Mytilus edulis: one gene and its partner. The protein of the gene in region 1 interacts with the protein of each later gene in a pairwise test. Links are inferred from orthologs where the notes say so. Each region holds a gene or a part of one and is shown on either strand. Other genes may lie near its edges. The genes, in order: kelch-like protein 8 and proteasome subunit alpha type-1-like.

Region 1 (11,477 bases):
AAACAATAGTCTCTGGCATTGCTATTAACCCATACATACCATGTATACCATGAATGATTGCTACTCATTACCCCAGGAATTTCATATAAGTTTTCTTTAGTTTTTCCTTAGTTAGGTGGTTGTTTTCAGTGAAGAATTGAATTCTGCAGATTATTCATGATGTCTGTAACTTAATGTGTAAGCCACTTACAATTTTATCGTTTTATGCTGATCATTGGCATTCATTTTAGTAAATTAAGCAAAGTCAGTCAGGGGACTTATTTAAATAAGTGATTTTTAAATCAATTATTTTTAAAAGTACAAAAATGTAGCAAATTCAAAGTTTTGTCACAAATTACGATTTTGTAGTTTAACCAAAATTTTAAACATATAGGTTTAGATAATATCTTTTCATAAGTAAAATTGAAAAAAAAATAACTTTTTGCTTCTTTTAAGCAGCAAGGTTTATACCTTTGATGCAATCTTTTAGCTGCAAATTTTATTTTATTTGAAAAAATGCTATAAAAATGGCATTATATAATGAACTGATATTTTCTTAACAGATTTTTCTCAGTAGTGGGAGTATTTTTCCTGTAAAATTCAAGGTTTCATCTAATAGATTATGTAATAAAATTCTATTGTTCACAATCAAAATTTCACTATTCAGGGTTGTTTAAAGTAGTGGGGTTATTATAATAATGTTGTTTGAAGAAGTGATTTTTTTCAAGGAAATTGAGGTATGATACTTTTAAATACAAGTGATTTTTATGTCATTTGTGACATTACCCGACATGAATCAACACAGATGTTGGTTCTGGTAACTTTACCAAAATAATTAGTCCCTGGATGATCAGTATTCTATATTTTAAGCTATAATAAAATTAAATCATTTAGTCGAGTGACTAATTTGTACTACTTGAATTTGTGATTATTAAAGGAAGACAACTCTTTACTTCCAACCTTTATGGACATACATGTAATTTTACTTGAATCAGTGGTATAGAAAATCACTCATTTAACAATGTTTCAGGAGCCTGTAATTCAGTGGTTGTCAGCTGTTGTTTATGTGTTTCATGTTTGTTTTTCGTTCATTTTTTTAAATATATAAATACAATGAAATAAGGCTGTTAGTTTTCTTGTTTGAATTGTTTTACTTTGTCTTATCAGGGCCTTTCATCATGTTCATAGCTGACTATCATTGACTATGCGGTATGGGCTTTGCTCATTGTTGAAGGACGTACGGTGACCTATAGTTGTTAATGTCTGTGTCATTTTGGTCTCTTGTGGACAGTTGTATCATTGGCAGTCATACCACATCTTCTTTTTTATATTAAGTAAGTGCCTTTCTTCAATGAATGAAATTACTACATTTTGTAGATCAGTTTACTAATTACCCACATCATTTAATGTCTATGACATCAGACTTGCAAAATTGAGCCCCACTTTTATCATTTGATTCTAATTTCTCTGTATCCATCGGTATCTTGCAATGATTACAAACTTCTTATATTTGACTACCATGTATTTCAGTTTTTAAACTAAACTTTATTTAATAATAATGCTCGCAACATTTACATGTAGCTACAAATTTGAATAATTTCAGATTCTCTGTCTTGGATTAAAATGTCTTATCTTTGACTACCTATAGTTCTACCAAATCAAAGAGCAGATTGCTCTGAGGGATACGATTGCCGTTGTTTCATTGACACATGTATACATGTAGCTGGATAATTAATTTTCAAATCTAATTCAGCTGCACATGTAAAATAGTTACAAAATAGCCAATCCCGGATAAAAGTGTATGAACAATGTAATAAGGCCTATAATATTTTATTTTTGTACTTTCAATTCCAAGTTTCTTTCCACAGCAGTCACTGAGACTCAGAGTGAGAGAAGTTATTTCACTTCGTATCTTATCACCTATTGTCCTACGTTAATTCTAGGAGGAACCCCATTCCTAACTCTTTAAATATTTAATTTCCTTTGAGTCAGTGATCATGACTCCTTTCCGTACACATTTATCGGTTTAAATTGCTATCGTTTTTAATATAATACGACGTTTATTGACAGAACGAGCTAATACTCAAGGTGTTGTTTCAGAATTCATGGAAGTTACTTCCGGAAGGGAGACAACTCGAAACGATAATATGGAAGACTCCATTTCGCCTGAAGGGGTGTTCTACGATAAGGACTACATTTATTTTAATTAAAATGATGCATATGATTTAAAATTATGCAACAACAATAACCCTCAATAACAGACATACATAGAAAAGATCCCATGAGTTATAAATTAATTAATTGAGTGGGGAATCCAGAGCAACTTTTCAATCTAAAACCCCTTGAAGTCAAGAAAACTATACGCATGCGCATAATTTCCAAAACAAACCCTGGAGCAAGAACGTATATTAATGTTTATTAAACGACCTAGATGGTTTCTCTATTTTTTTTATGGAATTACAATCTCAAATACCAGTTTCATAACAGTAACAAATTATAAGAAAAACTCCACTTCAGTTCTTATACATGTATATGACAGAAATAGATTTATTGGAATTCAGAGAACTCTTGCATTTTATCAAAACTGGGAATTCCCCTCTGACAGTCAGGGATACTACTTGTACAAGTGTATTTTATTTACTTGAAGAAGTAAAAAAAAATATACACATATAAGTAAATTTATAGGATACTTATACAAGTGAATTTTATTTACTCGTATAGGTAAAAAAAATGGCTTAGTTATGTCCCTTAGGCATTCAGAATTTTTTACTTGTATAAGTAAAAAAATCATCCTTTCTTCTTTTCTTGAATTCTTAAGATTTCTTTGCTCTAATAGAACTTTAAATTGTGTAACCTTTACAGATGTCTTTACTAATCGTTTAAGTGTAATTTCATGGACAATGAAAATCCCATGTGTCTGTTATATCTTCATAACACTGCTCATTTACTGTGAAGCCCCAAAGGAGCAATTTTGAATTGCCTTGCAAAATTGCCTTGGCAAATATACAAGATCTTTGCTCAATCAGTTTCTTTGATGAATTAATGAGATGAAACAGTGAAAAATTTGAGCAAACCTGGGAAAAATCATTAAAGGCATGATTTTACATCTCAAAACTTGAGGATTTTTATGGGATTGTAAGAAAAATTTACTTAAACAAGTAAATTTTTTAGAAAATTAAGGGGAGATTATTCAAACATTATTTATTTACTTATATGTGTATATTTTTTTTTACTTCTTCAAGTAAATAAAATAAAAGTAGTACCCCTGACTGTCTGACGTGTTTCTAAATTTATAAATACACTAAATATAAATACTGCTTAATTCTGATTTTCTGTGTTGTTAAAAACACGCATATATAAGTCAAGGGAATTATCAAACATGAAGATTATGAAAAGAACATTATAGGAAAGTTGTTTAAGTTCAATCCCTTTGTTTGTTTTTACCTTTTAAAGCAAGGATTTGTATAGTAAGAAGGATTGGAATCTCGTGGGCTTTTTCATAGACTGTAGTATAATATCTTCTGCGGCGCGAGATTTTGTGAGATTACCCGTGATGCATCTGGAAAATGCTAAACTAGCTCTGATTAATGGCTGACATTTGCATCACCTAAACAAATAGACATCGATATGTAAGTATCTACAATCTATATTTATCAAATATTATGCTTGAAATAAGAAGTTGAAAATGGTTCTGGTGTTATGAATAACTTTTACGATCGCAGTAAGAATACACGGCTCCATAGAATTAATTTGCATATTGACCGAAGTGACCTCACCCTATCCCGCCTATTACAAATCCTTGTTTAAAGCAAGACAATCATAAGAATCTGAGATGTTCCTTAATGTTTAGAATAAAACGATTGATGTGAGGGCAATGCTCTGAGCCATTGGTATAAGTCTACAGATTGCTTGAAAGCAATTGTATCCCAAAAATGACAATTCTAAGGCCCCTTCACCCTGTGAAAAATATATCAAATTTCTTAATTTTAATCTTTTTCAAATAATATAAAAATGTTTGCTTTCAAAATTCACTTTTCACTGTATGCTCAAATTTACATATAAAAATTGTCAGGTTCAATCTTAGATCTTGGATATTAAATTTGTTTGTCTAAATTCAAACCTGTAGATCTATATGATTATTTCACACCCTTCAGAACCCGATTCACCATTCAGCTTTTGTCTTAGGGTACACTTAAATATATGTGTACTACAGGGTGTTAAAGTTGAAAATACCCATATTTAAAGATATATTATGAACATAGATAACATGCATATTGGGGCCTTTTATAGCTGACTACTGGTATGCAGTATGGGCATTGCTCAATGTTGAAGGCCATACAGTGACATATATTTAATAATTTCTGTGTCATTTGGTCACTTGCAATTATGAAGCTGTTAGCTATGCAAGAAAAGATGTCCATAGGACATATCAACCATACTTCAAAGACATAATGCCATACTTTGTGAAGACACAAGTCATCATCCATGTTTTTGTTTACAAAATAAATTTTATCTATTACATTTTGTAAGTTTATTTTAATATACCTGTAGACAATGGTAGATGGTTATTATCATGATTAACATGATTATAACTTGTGAGGGGGGATAGGACCTTTATCGATACTCCAGGATAGGGTGTTATTAAGCTTGTAATTTTGGGATTGACCCTTTCAAGATCTGGAAATTCTTTATTTCAATTTCGGGATGTCTGGATTTCAATTTATTTAAATTCGGGACCTCAGGATTTCATGTTTTTAAATACATGAAATATATAGTACTGTATTCACATTGTTTGTCATGTTATAACTTCTTATATACCTAGTTTACGCATTATACATTTGCATGATTTGTTATATATATGTGACGGGATTGCTTCCCCTAGAAAATTTAGTAGATACCTAGTAAGCCGTAAGTGATTGAGCTACGGAAGTACTTCTTTAGCTAAGTCTGTTAACGCCCTGCCTTGTTACACAGAGGTTCTGGGTTCGATTTCTGGTGGAGACAAGCAATTTTGTAATGAAATTCATGCTCTACGGTTACATATATACTAAAAGATGGTACCCTAAAAGATGCCAAATCACTGTAATTTTTTTTTATTAGGACTAGATGGTAGGCAGCCACTAAAAGGGAAAATTGTTGTAGACCAAAATATCTTCTTTGGCTCAATAGGTCCATAATAAGTACAACTAATTGTCAAACGTCATAATTATTTGGACTAGTCCATGATATACAGAAATATACACACTGTCTAAGACTGAATTTACTGCTACTAGCCTTTATGAAACTTATTGCTTAAGAAACTGTGCACGCTGTGACACTATCCAGATTTTTTTATGATGCTTCAGCAATCTTTCATCAAGAAGATGACATTTAAAAGGAAAGAAAACTTCATTTCCCTTTGACAAAAATATATATAAATAGTTCGATGTGCAGGTGTATTATTTTCCAATGCAGTAACGTCCCCTTATTTCGTGACGAATTAATGACAACTCGCCCCATTTGAAAAATATCGCTCCAAGCTAAATTACCAACTCGCCCCACTATTGAAAAGGGTAATATCCCATTGCATTAGGTTTGACATATTGCCCCAATTATGGATAAATTAAAATTAGATTGACATTCTGAATTAATATAGACAACATAACTTTTTTTGCTGATTAAAAAAAAAATTGCCAAAAAAATGGATTTCATCCCAAACACTGATCAACAAAGAAACATCTGTCACACATTCTTTCTTCACACTTGGTTTTATAATGGCATTGCAGTTTCACTGACCTTTAACTTGTGGTAACCGTTATTCTAAACTTTTAACATAAAATCTATAGACATCAATCTAATTAAAATATAGATATCTATAGTATAAACATGATAAAGTATATATTTTATTTAATTATATTTTAATTATATTGTATAGACATTAGGCGACATAAGACATAAAGATTTATTTAGAGTCGGTATATGAGCAATATAATTACAAACATCAGCTCTAACTACGAGCTAAAATTCAAACATTTTCCTATTATGAAACCTTAGATATTTCGATTTAAACCCAGGCTGATTTAATGAATTACTGAAAATACCCATAACCATAGGGTAACGAGTAAGTTTGCCCATAACATAAAAAAAATTGGAGATGTTTTTTTTATACTTAGCAATATCAAATCGTCGGTTAATTTTTTTAGCTGGAAAATCTTTTGCTTGAGTCTTTAGTTTTCTTGTTGTTTCTTGCGTACTATATATTATTTGTCTGTTTGTCTTTTTCATTTATATATATCGATGGCCATGTCAGTTCATTTTCGATAAATGAGTTTGACTGTTCCTCTGGTTTCTTTCGCCCCTCTTAAATAATGGCCGAGGTTCGATGTTTCCTTAGAATTAAATGCTTTTTATGAAAAAAACACCACAGAATGTGCCCGAGGACACGAATGACCCGCTTAAGCTTTGTAATTCCCCAAGTTTGAAAGGAGCAAAAACTCTAGAACGGTAAATTATATATATATATATATGACTTACTTGGGACTATAATACCAACTACTGAGTATCTGGGACTGTTATACTAACAGTTATTATAATAGTCCCAGGACTTACTGCCACAATTCATACTCTGTCTGCGTGTTGCGGATTTTAGCATCGAGTACAAGAATATAAGTTTCTTAAAATTTCGACGAGACAAACTTATGTTAGAGTGAGAAATCCCCAAAAATTGCAATTACCAAGTTAAAAGGGCATAACACTTGAACAGCAAATGACATATAGCCCAAATCTAAACTCTATAATACTATATTATTTGATGCCCAAATTCGAAATCTCTTTGAAGTATTTGGTTCTAAGGATTGTGTACGAGTTTCATAACATATTGATTAATAAGTAAGTTAGAGTGCGGAAACGAAAATGGGACGGACCGAATTCGTGCAAGGAACAGACAGATGGAGCGGCGACCGGCCGGCCAAGGATAACACTTATAGCCCCGTAGAATACGGCGGGGGCTTACACACGTCGAATTAAAACTGATATTTCTTATATATATTTATTGATATCAAGTTTGAAGAAACCCATTGCAGGACTTTCGTCTTCATGTCCAAGCCTATTATCTAGCTAATGGAGACAGATTTGTTATTGAAAAATCAGTTTTACAGAATGGAAAATTTTCATAGTCTCAAATAAATCTAATTAAAAAAAGGAAAGAAAACAACTAAACAGTTGAAGGAAGCATGTTAAGAATGTTCATGTTCATCTATATCTTTCTTTTTTTTTGCGTTTATTGTGATTACATCAACAATGTCAAGCCGGTCGCAGCGACCACCGAATAAAAATCTAAATAAAAAGTTGCAATTTCGTGTATTATCTAGACATGTTTGGACGAAGCTAAATGATTATCCAATCTAATAAATTATAGAACTCGAATTTTGTTACACTGACCCAAATTTTATATTTTAAATTTACTGAAGGCTTGTCTTAATTTTATCTAAGAGAAAAATAGATTTCAATATTGTCTCTAGAATCAAAACTGTAACAATTTAATGGCCAAATTAATGATGTAGATGAATATAATATAGAAAAGCAAATAATAAAAAAAGTTGGCAATAATCTAAATTATACCGTATATTCTTGGTGGTGAAAATACCCGTGTGTTACGAATAATTGTAATATTTTTTGAACTTTGCATATTGAAACTTTCATTTTACCATGTTACAGGAGATCTGTTGAGCTAATGACAAGGAAATGGGAAACATCGATCATTTTTCTATCTTCCACAAAGACACAATAAGTGTTTTATTTTTGAACAATTTTTTTTCACTTAATACGAGGAAGTATTTCTCTAAAGTTTGAGCGTTTTTTTACATGTTTTATTAATGTATTTCCTGTTACCTTATTTACAAATGTGTATTAAGTTTGTGAATTCTTCAGAACGATATTCACATCAGTATATGAAAGATAAACAGAGGAAAGTTGTTCAAGAACCAACAGTACGTATTTTCAATTGTTAGCTTGGTAATAGAAAAGAAATATAATGCTTCCTTTAAAATAATTTTTTGTAATAAAATTCGTTTTATGATACTATTAAAATATTTTCAACCGTTCTCTGTGATATCTACGATATTTTAGATCAGACAGCATACTATGATCGGTATTTGATATGATGAATATTCATTGACCAGGTATTTTAACGCGCAATTGGACGTTTATAATTAGCAACCAACAATCAAATTATTTGTGATGGTTATCTATTTAGCATAAATCGATTTTGGATGAGAAAGTAAGTCAACTTCATCAACAAATTACCCTAATAATTTGGCATTCTTTCGGGAAATGGTGTAATAATTCAGGCTTTTGGTACTCGTTACGAACATTTGATCAGTCTTCAAAATCAGTTGATCATTATGGCAGATTTGTTTAATATGTAAAATGATTATTTTGTTCGTGACCAGGTACTTGATTTAAGCTTTTAAAGACCATTTTTCGAATAATGCTTATTCAAAGTGCAATTAAAACATATTTCTCCTAGGTTTTCGTGCTTTCTAATCAGATATGCATTATTTTGAATATACATTGATTTTATTTCTCTGGAAGTAAGTGTGCAAAAATGCTTCATCTTAAATTTTCAAATACAATTCAACTAGTCCTTAGTGCATACAAAATTTTATTGAATCGCAAATACCAACCATTTATGTATAGGCCATTTATTCATGGCACTCCCATTTAGTATTTACTTTAAACGAGTTTTGTCCAATTATTTAGAAGCCCATGTACATGCGTAATAATTATTGTTGTGCGCATTGCAATTGGTACACAATGTATCTAATAAATTACACGATTGTTTTAGAGTGATTTTCCGAGTTCGATGTAAAAGTTAGCTATTTTTGACATTATTGAAACATCGTAACATATTTTTAGATTTCAATTTCTACAGATATATATATATATGACCATGTCTGCTTTCAGATTTTTCCGTTTTAGTTTTGAGAACATGTGAGCATGAGGCAAATTCATTTGATGTGTTTGTTTGGATCGGTTATGCAGACAGTGAATACACGTATCAACACAACAGAAAACGTATGTTTCGTGCCGCATTGTACGTGTAACAAGAAACAGCAAAGTGCGACCTGCACAGGACTTGACTATATACCACACGTCCCAAGATTTGCTGAAAAAATTGAATTGACCCATAACAATTTCAGTGATGTCAATTTTTCTAGATGGTTTGTATCGAATGTTACCAACAATAATATCCAAGAATTCAAATTGATCGGAAATTCTATAAAATATGTTAAAAATGACGTATTTGTGGATTTCATTTATCTAAAGTCACTGGCAATTTCAGATGAAAAACAGTTGAATGTAACTAGTCTGAGTGATGCATTGGTTTTCGTAAATACAACACATCTCAAGCAAATTCATTTGTATAGCAACTACTGGAAAGATATTCCCTTTAACATTTTTAAGACAATCAGCCTACGGAAAGTGACATCCATATCACTTGAAGAAAATCATCTGTCGTTATTCACGTTCCCCGACTGGTATACTGAATTGAAAAACTTAAAAACAATTAACCTGTCAAAAAATAATATCATTGGTTTAATCCTGTATGATAATGTGAAATTATCGGTTGAAAACATTGATCTTACTAGGAATGATATTGTACACATTCCAAGTTTTTGTGATAAAATGAACAAAAGCAAAGTTCCGAAGCTTCGACGTCTGATTTTGAACGGCAATGCTATACCTTATTTATATCCAAAATGTTTCAGCTGTATGCCATCATTGCAGTCCATAAGTCTTGATGCTAATCGATTAACGGTTTTAAGGAATAATACTTTTTCAGAACTACCACAATTAAAAAAAGTTTTCTTTCAATTTAATTATCAGCTAAAAACAATAGAACCTACCGCTTTCAACAGCACGTCATTAATCAGTTTACATTTTGGATACAACAATTTCCGATTTGACAAGACAAAAAACAATAATTCTAGGTTCAATGCAGAACAAATATTTAAACATACGCCGTCATTACAATGTTTAGATTTAACGAATAACTATCTTCCGTCTGACAAAACTACACTAGGTCTGATGTTTGCCCATTCGGAAGAGATGAAAAATTTGGTTCTACAAACGGTCGGTTTGAGAAAACTTCATCCTAACTTTTTTAGAAATTTGACATCCTTAGAGAAAATAATTCTTCAAGGAAATTTTATAAATTCTTGGGCGCCAGAGACTTTTGCTAATATGCATAGCATAAAGTATATTAACTTAAAAAATAATTTGATACATGCACTGAACAAATCATCTTTACCTGAAAATATTTTGCACCAACTTGAAAAATTATACCTGGCAAAGAATCCATTTACTTGTACATGTGACCTCATGTGGTTCCGAAACTGGATTCGAACAACAAAAGTAGACTTGTCCTCAGATTTTCCACAAGCGTACACGTGTAATTTTCCTGCTGAAATGCGAGGTCGATTAGTTATTAAATACAATCCAACCCCAGAGAGTTGCAAACAATCTGATCCGTTTATAGTAATCGCAATTATTTTGTCTTCATTTGCATTTTTGGTGATAATTGTAATTTTATTAGCTTACAAGGGTCATACCTATATAAGGAACTACTGCTATATTATGAGATTGCATCGTCTTCGAAAACAGGGATATTTACGTCTAAACAATAGTGATGATTTTGAATTTCATGCGTTTGTGGTGTACTGTGATGCTGATAGGGAATGGGTTCATAGTGAGTTCATCAAACGATTGGAACATGAACAAATTAAGTTATGTGTTCATCACCGTGAGTTTGAACCGGGAGTCCCAATTACAGAAAATATAGACAAGTATATGAACAAATCGTGGAAAGTTGTGATCATAATGAGTAATGATTTTGCTAGAAGCGATTGGTGCCAATGGGAATGTGATTATGTTCAAGAAAGAAGACGTCGACAAGGAAAAGATGCATGTGTTCTAATTATGCTGAAGGCTATTGATGCGTATCACATGACCAGTGGTATAAGGTCCTTGTTACATACAACACCGTATCTACGCTACAAGAAAGGCATAGGGGAAGCTTTGTTTTGGCAAGCAGTGCTGAATACTCTTAGAAGACCACTAAGTGTGCCACCTATGGCCATCTAATATGTTTATGGGAAATGTTACAACTTTTCGTCTTCTGTTGTTAATTGCCAATTCCGTGAATAACACGTTCTTTCATTCCCTAAACATTAACATTTACATTCGTTAACATATTAGTCTTGTTGACATTATTTATAATATACCGTTTTTATTTAGTAATGAATCTGGTATTTTGTGACCTAAATACTAATTCACTGATTTTTTACAGTTTAAATAAAATTACATGTTTTATCTATATTTTACCTTTAAAATTGGGAAATTGTTTTATTTTTATATTGAACAAAATTCTGTCAACCAGTACTAGTACTGTTCATAAAATTTCTGTGTTTAATAAACTCCAAAGGTTATTTTAAGTATAACTTAACCTCCGACAGGCA
Region 2 (11,483 bases), on another chromosome or scaffold:
AATGGCGGACGAATGCAAGAAAATTTACAAAAATAAACGATGTTTGACAAGTTATTTGGAAAGGAACATGACGGTTTTAATGCAATAAATGGATAAAACATTTACTGGAGGCAACGAATCTCCTGTAGTTGGTGATCGCAATACTGGTATACCAGTATTGTCCACAATACTGGTATAAAAATTTTGTACCAGTATTGTTACTTTTTTATAAAAAAAACAGCAATACTGGTACATTACTGACATACCAGTATTGTAGTTGTATTATATTGTTGACTAGACTATATTGAAGATCAAAGGGAGATTAAATGGAACTCAAAAAGATTATAGAGGATAATTGTGAAATCAATTAACAACCAGTTAAAAGTCATTACTATACTTGCACAAATAAACAAAGGATTATTGAAATTAACTCATATCATCATTATTATTTAAACAATTGCTAATAATTTTATCATATTTCTATATTTTATTTAATTTAATACAGATAAAATAAAATAAAAGCTTATTATTATCTGAGCAATAATTTAATAAATTCAAGCAAATTATTAGACTCTAACACTGTAAATTCAGCATTTACTTGTATGCCATCATATTTTGACAGATATTTTAATACATGTATACATTTTTTAAGTACTAAGATCATATGCATTTGTTTGTCTTTATTTTCTTATTAATCTTTCACAACAAAAGATATCAATATAATTCATTAATTATAAAAAGTTGCTTTATAGGGGAACCTTGTTATAATCAAATTAACTAGTTTGTCTACATAAATGTTAAGGGTTGAAGCAGTTGATTCAGAACCATGGACAATACAATTAGTAGCAGATACATGTATATCTACTGGTACAAATACTAGACCAGCATTCTGACAGTTAGAGAGCTATACAAATGCTATCTGAAATAGCTTGTAATCTAGTAAGCGTTAGAGAAAGTCCACAGACACTGAATACCTAAATACCAATATAGGAAGGGGGAGGGGTTGCAGAAATCACATCTGAAGAAGAAATACCAGTGCTGATGATACAGAAGCTATAACAGCATTAATGTCAATATAAAATTCACTAAAATATACTACATGAATCTTGGAAAGAGAGAGCTGAAAGAAAACATAGAAGAAAGTACAGAGTTTGTTAAAATGCTGATACAGAAAGGTTAAGAAAAAAACATCAGAAGATTTAAAACTTTATTTGATGACAATCACAGTGTACCATCTATGGCATCATCAGTTAAACACAATCATTCCTAATAAAATTGTCATGTCATATGTTAATTTCATTATGCATATATGGGACACCTTTAACAAAAGATTAATTACCTATATTGTTTATTTAAAAAAAGCACAATACTGGTACAATACTGGAATACAATACTGGTACAAAATTTTTATACCAGTATTGTGGACAATACTGGTATACCAGTATTGCGATCACCAACTACAGGAGATCCGAGGCAACTTTTATCACGTTTAAATGAAGTAACAAACTTATTTTGCCGCCGAAATTTAGGTTGATGTACGTTTTCGAGTAACAAGCACCGAAGTGATAAAAAGTTGTATTTTTATCAAATAACCTTCTATACACTGCGAAGACAATGCTTCAACCTCTTTTTTAAAGATAATGAATCGTTTATTTCTGAATTTCTTTAATTATCAGTAAAAAATTGATGTTTCATCAACTTGGTAAAAATTGAAAATGTCCGATGACGGAAGCGACTGAAAGCGACTATCGTCAAGAACAGGGCGACTTGTTTTCGCTTTTGGGGGTCGGGTAAAGTGAAGTGATGGTCGGGAAGGCGACTTCTTCGCCCAAGTCGCCTGGTAGCGTGAGCCCTGGGTGGGACTGCTGGCCCTCCGAATCTCCCGATATCAACCCAATTGAAATGGTATGGAATATGCTGAAACGCAGACTTGCTAAAAAAAACCTTAAAACTAAAGATGACCTTCAGACAGCTCTACAAGAGTTTTGGACCAGAGATCTTACTATTGAGTACTGCAACCGCTTTATTGACCATTTATATAAAGTTGTCCCAGTAGTAATAGCACTAGAAGGACGTGCAACAGCCGATGTACCTCGCAAAATATTTCCTGAAAGGTCTTATAGTAAATCGATAAGTTACTTCAAAACCAAGTTAGATGACCCCAGTTTCACCAAGAAGATCGAACACCTCCTACCACACTAAGAAAACCAAGTCAAGAACTACGAGAGATGCAGCAGAAACTTTTTCATAACAGTCTTTTTCAAGGCTACACAAATCATTCAAAAAGATATCTTTAATTTGTTGTACACTCAAAGGGGGGCTTCAAAGAGTTTTACTAATTATACCCATTGCCTTATCAAGTAGTGACCCTCTACTGTTTGTGACTGATTTCTAAAACGTATAGATTTTTTTATCCTACATATTCTTGTTCTTCAAGAACAAAAGAAAATATCGAATTTTTTTGTAAACACATATTTACGTTATTCAGTAAGTTTTATATTATAATTGAGAAAATTTGCTGCCTTCTATTTTACCTAGAAAAAATCTCGTAAATAGTTTTTTTTGCTGCAAACTATTTTATTGAGAAAAAAATCTCGATTTTTTTAATTTTTTTATCATAGAATTTTAAGCCAGTTGAATATGACGTTGTGTTTTTTTTTACAAAGAATACACACTGGACATAGTTACATGCTAGGCTAATAATATCTTTTATAATTTTATCAATCGTAACTACTCTCGCTATACAGTACAATAATTATTGAAGAGTTATTTCTTCGTGCAAACAGAAAGCCGGCCGAGTAGTTCCGATTGATGATTTTATCCATGAAATTGAACAGGAAACCCCTAAAGTTTTAAACACATGTACACACGTGATATTATCGTGTCAACCTTGACCCCGCTTTCACCAGCAATGCATTTAAATGTTCGATCAAATTCTCTTCCAATCCAAACATTTTATTACAATAAAAATAACCATCGTATCTTACAAACGAAAAACTAGTTTTCAATAATAGACGTTTCAGCAGCTGTTTCATTCGGGTATTTCTTGTTACAGTAATATTTCACGTTTTGAGAATATATAAGAGGGGGGATAGGACCTTTATCGGGACTCCAGGATCGGGTGTTTTTAAGCTGTAACACGTTCGGGTTCCGGAAATTCTTTTTCGAATTAGGGGACCTCGGGATTTCGTGATTTTAAGTCCGGGATTTCGGGATTTTGTTTTTTTAAGCCCGGCATTTGGGATCAGGACCCCTTCTTACCCTCCCTCACATGACGTTTTCAAATACGAATAAAGATAGGAAACTCATGTCTTTTTAAAAGAAAACTAATCTACGAAATTACTAGAACATATAACTCGCGACGAAATGTAGAAGTAATGAGAAAAGAACGGAAAGGAAAAGATATTTTAATTTATATTCGAATCGTAAAAAAAAAACTGAGAAGATAAATAAGAGAACAATAATGTGTAGAATGTTTCTTCCTCAGACAGACCTGGAAAAAAAAACCATATTTCTTTTATTGGTAAATTAAATAATTAGAACTGAAACAATCTGAAAACCGTTCATGCCTTTTAAATGTCTATTATGTAATTATCGATTTTACCTGTTACATTATCATAACTAATTACATAATTTTAAGTAGCATGTGCGGCCGACCATGCACGCTTGGCTGATTTTATTGCACCTATTATCAGCTGATGATTTGATTGACAACAGGTAATCAATCATCGACATTTAAGTCGCTGATGCTGAGCCTTTTTAAAACCTGCCACATTTTTCAGACCATGTCACGGAATGTACTGTATGAGTAAAAACATTGAAGATTTTAAATGAAAACACAAAAGATTTTAACAGCTTGGCCCCTTTGTTTTGAAACAATGAAACAAAAAATCATAGCAATGCACTAACCAAAACATAATTAAAATTTATTCAACACAAAAAAATATGTTGTCATACATTGTAGTCTTACTTTATTTTGAAACAATGAAATAAATGTTAGCAATACACGTAACCAAAACAAGAGTCAAGATAAAGATTAATTCAACACAAAAAAAACATGTTGTCTCACTTTAATTTAGGACAAATTGAATGACAACAAATATACTTGTAGGAATACACTTGCCAAAACCAATAAAAATTGGGTGCGAAAGTGAAAGAGTGCGAACATGAATGGGCGCGAACGGACCCGGATTTGTCACAAACCCCTGAACTTCTTTCCCTATATATCAAGAAAAAGTGAAAGAAGATCTTCTTCTTCATTTTCTGGCAAACTTTCAATTATTGAAGATTATTCTCACCATGGATAGAAAACAAGTCTGTGAGAGAAAGGCAGTTGAAATCATGAATAACTGAATTTATGATACAGAAAAATCAAAAAAAAAAACAACGTGAATAACAAGGTTGTTTTCACTTTTAAAAAAAAGAAAAATACAACTTATTCTACTATGACTGAGTATAATTCGACGAAAATAAAAAAAAATATGCACATGACAAATAAAAAGATCAAACCATACATCATTGTACCATTGTTATAGCTTTACGTGCTTCTTAATCTGAACAGATGCACTAATTCGTGTGCAGGGCTTGTATTCCCTTACGTGATAACTTAATATTAATAGGATTGAACGTAGAAAGTTTCGAAAATTACCATTTTTTAAGATTTCAACCGGTATGACAGTGTGAAATTTTCTAGTCAAATAAACTTCCTTCAACTTAGGAGAGCATATTTCCATGGGAGGTAATTCAAATTCCCGCCATAATTTCTAGAGATATTTTTTTTTCGTTCATACCTGTAAGATACCTGTAAGATCGTTGTGGGGCTCATATGGAAGGATCCTATCCTTTTTAGCCCACCCTATTTTGGTACACTTTCAAAACTGATACAATCATCAATTCTGCATGATTTGGTGCAATATTTCACACAATTAAAAAGTTATATATAGAAAACTATTTGTGTCCTCATCAATTTCTTAACTGATACATGACTGACTCCCAATGACGGTCTATACTAATTTTAAAGGCTTCCATAGTTTTTGATGAAATAACTTCAACTGGTAGGTTATTCCAATCCTTAATAATTCGTTGTGAGAAATGTCTTAATCGAAAAGAAGTGTTACATCTAGGTTTTGCTAATTTCCAAATATGCCCACGGGTATTTGTACTGATGACAGTAAAAAATCTTTCATAAGATATATCTTCGAATCCTTTTAATATTTTGAAAGCTTGTATCATATCACCTCTTCGCCTTCTGTGAGTTAGGGAAGGTAGTTTAAGTACTTTTAATCTGTCTTCATAGCTTAAATGGGGAGCGTAGCTATAATCCGACACCCCGAAATTCCGACAGTCCAGTAGTCCGACAGTACGATAGTCCGATAGTCCGACAGTCCGATAGTCCGACAGTCCGTTAATCCGACAATCCGATGGTCCGACACCAAGCTGTGCTGCTGCAAAGGATGATTGTCTTTTTAAAAGCGTATTAGCATACTGCTGAAACGCGAGCAGTGTTTAAAATGTAAAAAGTAGAATGCATCGAAATGGGATATAAATTAAATCCCTTTTTGAGGGAGAGCAATAGGGGGTCCGTTAACATGCTAACAACACCTCGATTTTGGCAAAAACAGTTTACAAAAAATGCAGAAATGCTGATAACAGTTAACAAAGTGGGTTGAAAACAGTTAACAGCTTAAATTGATCTCAGATAACAGTTAACAACACCTTGAAAAGGGCCATAACAGGTTAACACAAAAAGGTATTGCCCCCCCCCCCCTCTTTCTTGTTTGAACAATTAATATAAGATTCTTTATATCATCATGTCGATGTTGATAACGAGAATGTCTGTTTACATACATTTTGTAAATGCGCAAGTGCATGCATGTAACCAGGAGCACATATATTGTTAAATATACTGTTCCAAGATGTAACGTATAATCTGGTTGAATGTGATATGTCACAAGTATTAGATGTATGCTTTTATATCTGCGGGGTTTCGGCCCGAAGATATGAAACGACTTCTTCGGATAGAGCAACATAGAAGTATCAATATTTTTTTTTATCTTTTCTTTTGTTTTCTAAAAAGAGCAATTAGTTTTGATAAAATAGGAATAGTGTCATTATCTCAAATTTCAGTCAAGATGCAAAACCACTTTCAGAACGGTTTCATAGTTAATGATTTGGAATGAAATCTTAACTTAAATTGCGTCTGTTTATAATACCTTATCATTGCTCTAGCTTGTATGGCAATATAAACCGCTGTACTATCTAGTATTTTTTTTTTGGTTCACTGATTGCCAAAACCTGAACTCTTTGCTGATAAAGGATAACACTTATATGTAATTTAAATTATTATAAGGACCTGAGCATCCCTAGTCATAGAATCATCACATGACACCAATTATGTGAAAAAGATTGGAATGAAGATGGGCAATGACATGAAGACAGTACGCAGACAAAGCAGATAGCGGTTAAGACCTATGACTGCAGTGCTGAAGTTTTAAAAATGACAGCACGAAATAAGAAAGGCACTTTATTTAGAAACAATGATTTTTTTTTATAGCAATACAAATACACTAACAAAACATGATTTAGATTTATTCAACAAAAAACCGTTGCCAGAATGCCTCTTTATTTTGAAACAATGAAAAAAATAAATAGTCATTGCTAGTCTCTAACCAAACCATCGACACAAAAAAATGTTTTTAGAATGTCAATTTATTATGAAATAATGAAAAAAAAATCGAGTTTTGGTTAGTATATTAATTGGGCAGTAATAGTATTGCTATAATAATGTTTATCATTGTTTTCATAATAAACAAAAGCAAACGTATAGGGTGCAAACGGACTTTTTGTAAGCACGTGTAGGGTGTGAAAGTGAAAGGGGGCGAATTTGAATGAGAGTGATCATGTTTTAAGGTGAACGGACTCGGATTCCGTTCATTTCCGATTCGTATGGGATTATTGCGGTCCTGTACAAGACGTCATACTGACTGATTTGTTAATTTTCTGTATGAAAAAATATACCAATTTACAAACGTTCCATGTCTATATAGGCATACTTTTCAGAGACAAGTGACCGTGCGTCGGACTATCGGGCTGTCGGATGATAAGACTGTCGAACTATCGGGCTGTCGGATTAAAGGACTGTCGGACTATCGGACTGTCGGATTATGGGACTGTCGGATTATAGGTCTGACCCCGCTTAAATGTCGTATATCAGGAATTAATTTAGTTGCTCTCATCTGCACTTTTTCTACAGCATTAATATCTTTCTTTAAATGCGGATACCATATTGTATTTCCATATTCCACGTGTGGTCGTACCAACGCAACGTATAGTCTTAAAAATGTATATTGATCTTTAAAGATAAAAGTTCGGTTAATTAGCCCAAGTATACTATTGGCTTTATTTATTTTACTTGATATATGTTGAGAAAATTTAAGATCATTTTGAAAAATAATTCCAAGATCCTTTTCTTGTTCATCTTTAATGATATCAATATTGTTCATGGTATAAACATTTTCAGGATTATTTCTTCTATAATGGATTTGTTTACATTTGTTCACATTAAATTTCATGTCCCATAACTTGGACCAATCGTAGAGGGCATCTAGATCATTCTGTAAGACATCAGATTTAGAAGTAGGTGCATACATTTTAGTATCGTCTGCGAAATTTTTTACTATAGACTCCACAACATCTGGTAAATCATTTATGAATATAATGAAAAGAACAGGTCCAAGTACACTGCCTTGGGGCACTCCACTAATTACATTTTGCCATTCAGATTTTTCCCCTTTCATCGCAACTTGTTGTCGACGTCCAGTTAAAAATTCAGTTATCCATTCTAATATAGATCCACGAATACCGTATGAATACAGTTTCTTTAGTAATCTTTTATGTGGCACTTTATCGAAAGCTTTGGCAAAATCGAGATGTAATGTGTCCCAGGATATATTATTATCCATATATAATGACCAGTCTTCCATGACATCAAGTAATTGTAATATACATGATCTTCCAGAGCGAAAACCAAACTGTGAGTCTGATAACAAATTATTGGTTATTAAATGATCAATCATTTCCTTCCGTATAACCTTTTCCAAAGTTTTACAAACAATTGAAGTTAGACTGACCGGTCTGTAACATTCCTGAAAGGATTTGTATACAAATTAATATACAAATCCTTGGCTCATTGACGGATATTGATAAAAATATATCATTATTTCGAAAACTCACAATTTATTAAAAGATAAACAGTAAGAATTATAAACGTATATAATAACAGATTATTAATGAAATTGGGGTGTCAAACGGTAATCACAGAATCACAAAAAAATTTAGCCAATATTTTCACCGAGTATTAAACAAGATAATCAAAGGAAAATGGCTAAGAAATCACGTAATAAAATAAGATGACAAGAAAGAACCTGAGATTAATGTATTCGGTGTACTAGTCCTAGGTTAGACTGAAATGCCTTAAATTTAAATTTGGAATGCCAAAAACATAAAACGTATCTTATTTTTTGCTACATCATTTGAAGTTAGACCACTAAATAGTCTTAGATTCGAATAAAAAGGCCTGATTAAGAGTCACTGATCGTCATGTGTGTTTCCTGGCTTACATTTGTTCATTAAAAAATCTACCGTAATATTAATATTTTTTATAATAAGTCCATTGATATTGCAGCTGTCAAAATAAGTGGTTCAGTTGTGTTGAACGTAAGAAAATAAATCTAATAACATTGACCAGTATACAAATTCATACATATAGCCTATGTCTAAAAAAAAATAATCAAAAGACAGGATCAAGTGGCGGATCCAGCCATTTTAAAAAGGGGGCTCCTAACCCAGGACAAAGGGGGGTTCCAACTACATGTCCCCATTCAAATGCATTGATCGTCCAATAAAAAAAGGGGTTCCTGTAAGCGGGATATAGGAATCTGACAAAACAGTAAGCGGGATCCGGGATCTAAACCCCCAATGTATTATGAGACCCCCCCCCCCCCCCCCCCCCACTGGGATCGATCGATCGATCGAAATGCTTACTGGACATTAACTCGGTAAAATGATAAAAAATGAATATATTTAAAATTATCTCGTAATCATTAAAAAAGGATCTGGAAAAATTTCATGAAATTCAAGAAGGCCGTTTAACAAAACTACACTGTATCGTAACTGGGACTAGTATAATAGTCCCAGATCGTAATGTTAATTGCGGAAAAGTTTTTCACCGGTGAAATACAGAACAGAGAAACAAAACATTTTCAAAGTCTTGACAGAGGTAACCAATTTTATCTAGTAAGAAATAATAAGACAGTAATTTTGAGGTGGCTTGGTGCCAACAAGGATGATCAATGGAAATACTGAAGGAGCAAATTTGCAATCATTTGGGGAGAAAAAAATGACTTCAGAAAAAATTATACAATGTTTTGTGAAAATGACATTTTATTTAGCTTCAAGTCGTACAACAATTGTTTCTTGCAAATTCTTGATGTTAATTTATAATCGAAAACCAATATTCAGAATACGATATGTTGGATTTACATCATAGTTTTTTACAATCTGAGAATGCACTCCGATTGTGCTAAAGACATTCTACTGCTATTTAATTTAACTCGTTCAAATATTTTGAAACGAACGTATAAAGCGGGCGATGGCAATCTTTTGGGATGTTGAAAATAGTGTTTGAACAAAGTGGGGATGGGGTATATAGGAGATAATTAAAGTGAGAATGGAGATATAGCGGCCAAAAAAGCGGGAGGTGACAAAAATAAAATCACACAAAAACGGGATTCCAAAAAATAAGCATCCTCCACTTAAAAAAAAATCGGTCCCAAAAATAACAGAAGTATGATTTATTCAAGTACATATATTCAAATTCTCAAAACTCAAAGTTTTATAAGTTCGATAATACATGTACTGCTGATAGCGAAAACTTTGTAAATTCGACTTCAACATTTAATTATACCACACTGGTCTTAACTATAATGCAAGTCTTGATACTTAAAATCCTTCGATTCATCCAAAATCAATAAGTTATCGACGATTACAACTTGGGAGGATTTCTGTTAAATTTAGATATATATAATCAGATCCCATATATCTTTTTGTAATCCTTTTAATAATATTTTGTTTGTACACTAGTCATGCTAGTGATAAATATATTGGAAATCGTTAAAATGGAACATACGTTCGGACCGATTTCTATTTCAAATTTTAAAAGATAACACACAATTCCCATATTATGAATATTTTCAAAGACAACATACATAATAATGTTTTCAGAATTTCATACAGTCGTGTTTTGTCTGAGTCTCACTTTCAGACTAAGTGTATATGGATTACTACTGGAACCGGACCATACATTGGATCCAAACGGAAATAAGCAATATATTTCCCTGGAAACTTTTATAACGGAAAAGAAATTTCTTCAACAACAAATCGATCAGCTGAGACGTGAAAACGAGCAGACGTTACAAGTTTTGGCGGGACAATTGAAACAGAAGTTGTCTGATCTTGATGGCAAAATTGCACAGAGCAACAACCAACTGGAGAGTTTTAGAAATGACCAAAATGCGACATTTACTAATGTATTTTCTCAGATGACCGCACTACAAATAAGAGTTTCCGGAAACAGCATGAAAGGTATTTTTTCTCGTCATGAGTAACTTTATTAAATGGAAGTATTTAACGACCTCGACTGTCTATACAGCCCTTGCACGGTCGGCAATGGTTAACTTCTCAAATGCTCAAAAAGAGTCATACCTTAAAACGGTAAATGTTGATTGGACGAATGCAGTTTGAAACGTTTTTTTTAGAACAACAAGAAAAAAAAAAGATAATTGCAACCCATTTCTTGATATTGTTATAAAATTTAATCGCCTGTATATCTGATTAAGGCAACCGAAGTATGCCGCTGTTATATAGTCATATGATAGATCTCATAAACATATTCAACCTCACCGCATTTTTGCGCCTGTCCCAAATCAGGACACCTTTGTTAGTTTTCTATTATTTTTACTTTTAGTTTCTTGTGTATAATTGACTTTGGAGTTTAGTATGACGTCCATTATCACTAAACTAGTATATATATATTTGTTGAGGGGCCAGCCGTAGAACGTCCGGGTGCGGGAATTTCTCGATGCATTGGAGACATATTGATGACCTTCTGTTGTAGTCTGTTCTGTGGTCGGGTTGTTGTCTCTTTGACACATTCCCCATTTTCATTCTCAATTTTATTTATCGATTAAACGAAAACAAATCCGGGTAACAAACTAAAACCGAGGGAAATACATAAACAAGATAAACATGATAAGTGGAAAACAACGGAACAACAGGAACACTGAACTGCAACAAAAACAAACGTCAACATATATAGAAACGCACTATTTGATAAATTTTAATTACAACTTCCATATTCCTGACTTGGTACAGGACATTTTAAGAAAAGATGGTGGGTCGAACCTGGTTTTATGGCTGTCTAACTGATATATCATGATATATCACAA

Evidence for each region.
Region 2: the proteins of kelch-like protein 8 (region 1) and proteasome subunit alpha type-1-like interact in a two-hybrid assay, tested with the Caenorhabditis elegans proteins (2 studies listed by BioGRID). The link is inferred for Mytilus edulis from reciprocal best matches to the Caenorhabditis elegans genes kel-8 and pas-6.

The regions. Positions count from the first base shown.
Region 1 is NC_092351.1:25,128,226-25,139,702, reverse strand, and holds the start of kelch-like protein 8, read right to left. Parts: upstream 5,453-11,477; 5' UTR 5,254-5,452; exon of another isoform or gene 5,244-5,253; intron 1-5,243. Other genes in the region: toll-like receptor 13, read left to right, coding at 8,956-11,103. UniProt on the Caenorhabditis elegans protein: Substrate-specific adapter of a BCR (BTB-CUL3-RBX1) E3 ubiquitin ligase complex that regulates degradation of glutamate receptors in neurons. The BCR(kel-8) ubiquitin ligase complex mediates ubiquitination and subsequent degradation of rpy-1.
Region 2 is NC_092353.1:47,647,257-47,658,739, forward strand, and holds the start of proteasome subunit alpha type-1-like, read right to left. Parts: upstream 4,717-11,483; 5' UTR 4,631-4,716; coding exon 4,628-4,630; intron 1-4,627. UniProt on the Caenorhabditis elegans protein: The proteasome is a multicatalytic proteinase complex which is characterized by its ability to cleave peptides with Arg, Phe, Tyr, Leu, and Glu adjacent to the leaving group at neutral or slightly basic pH.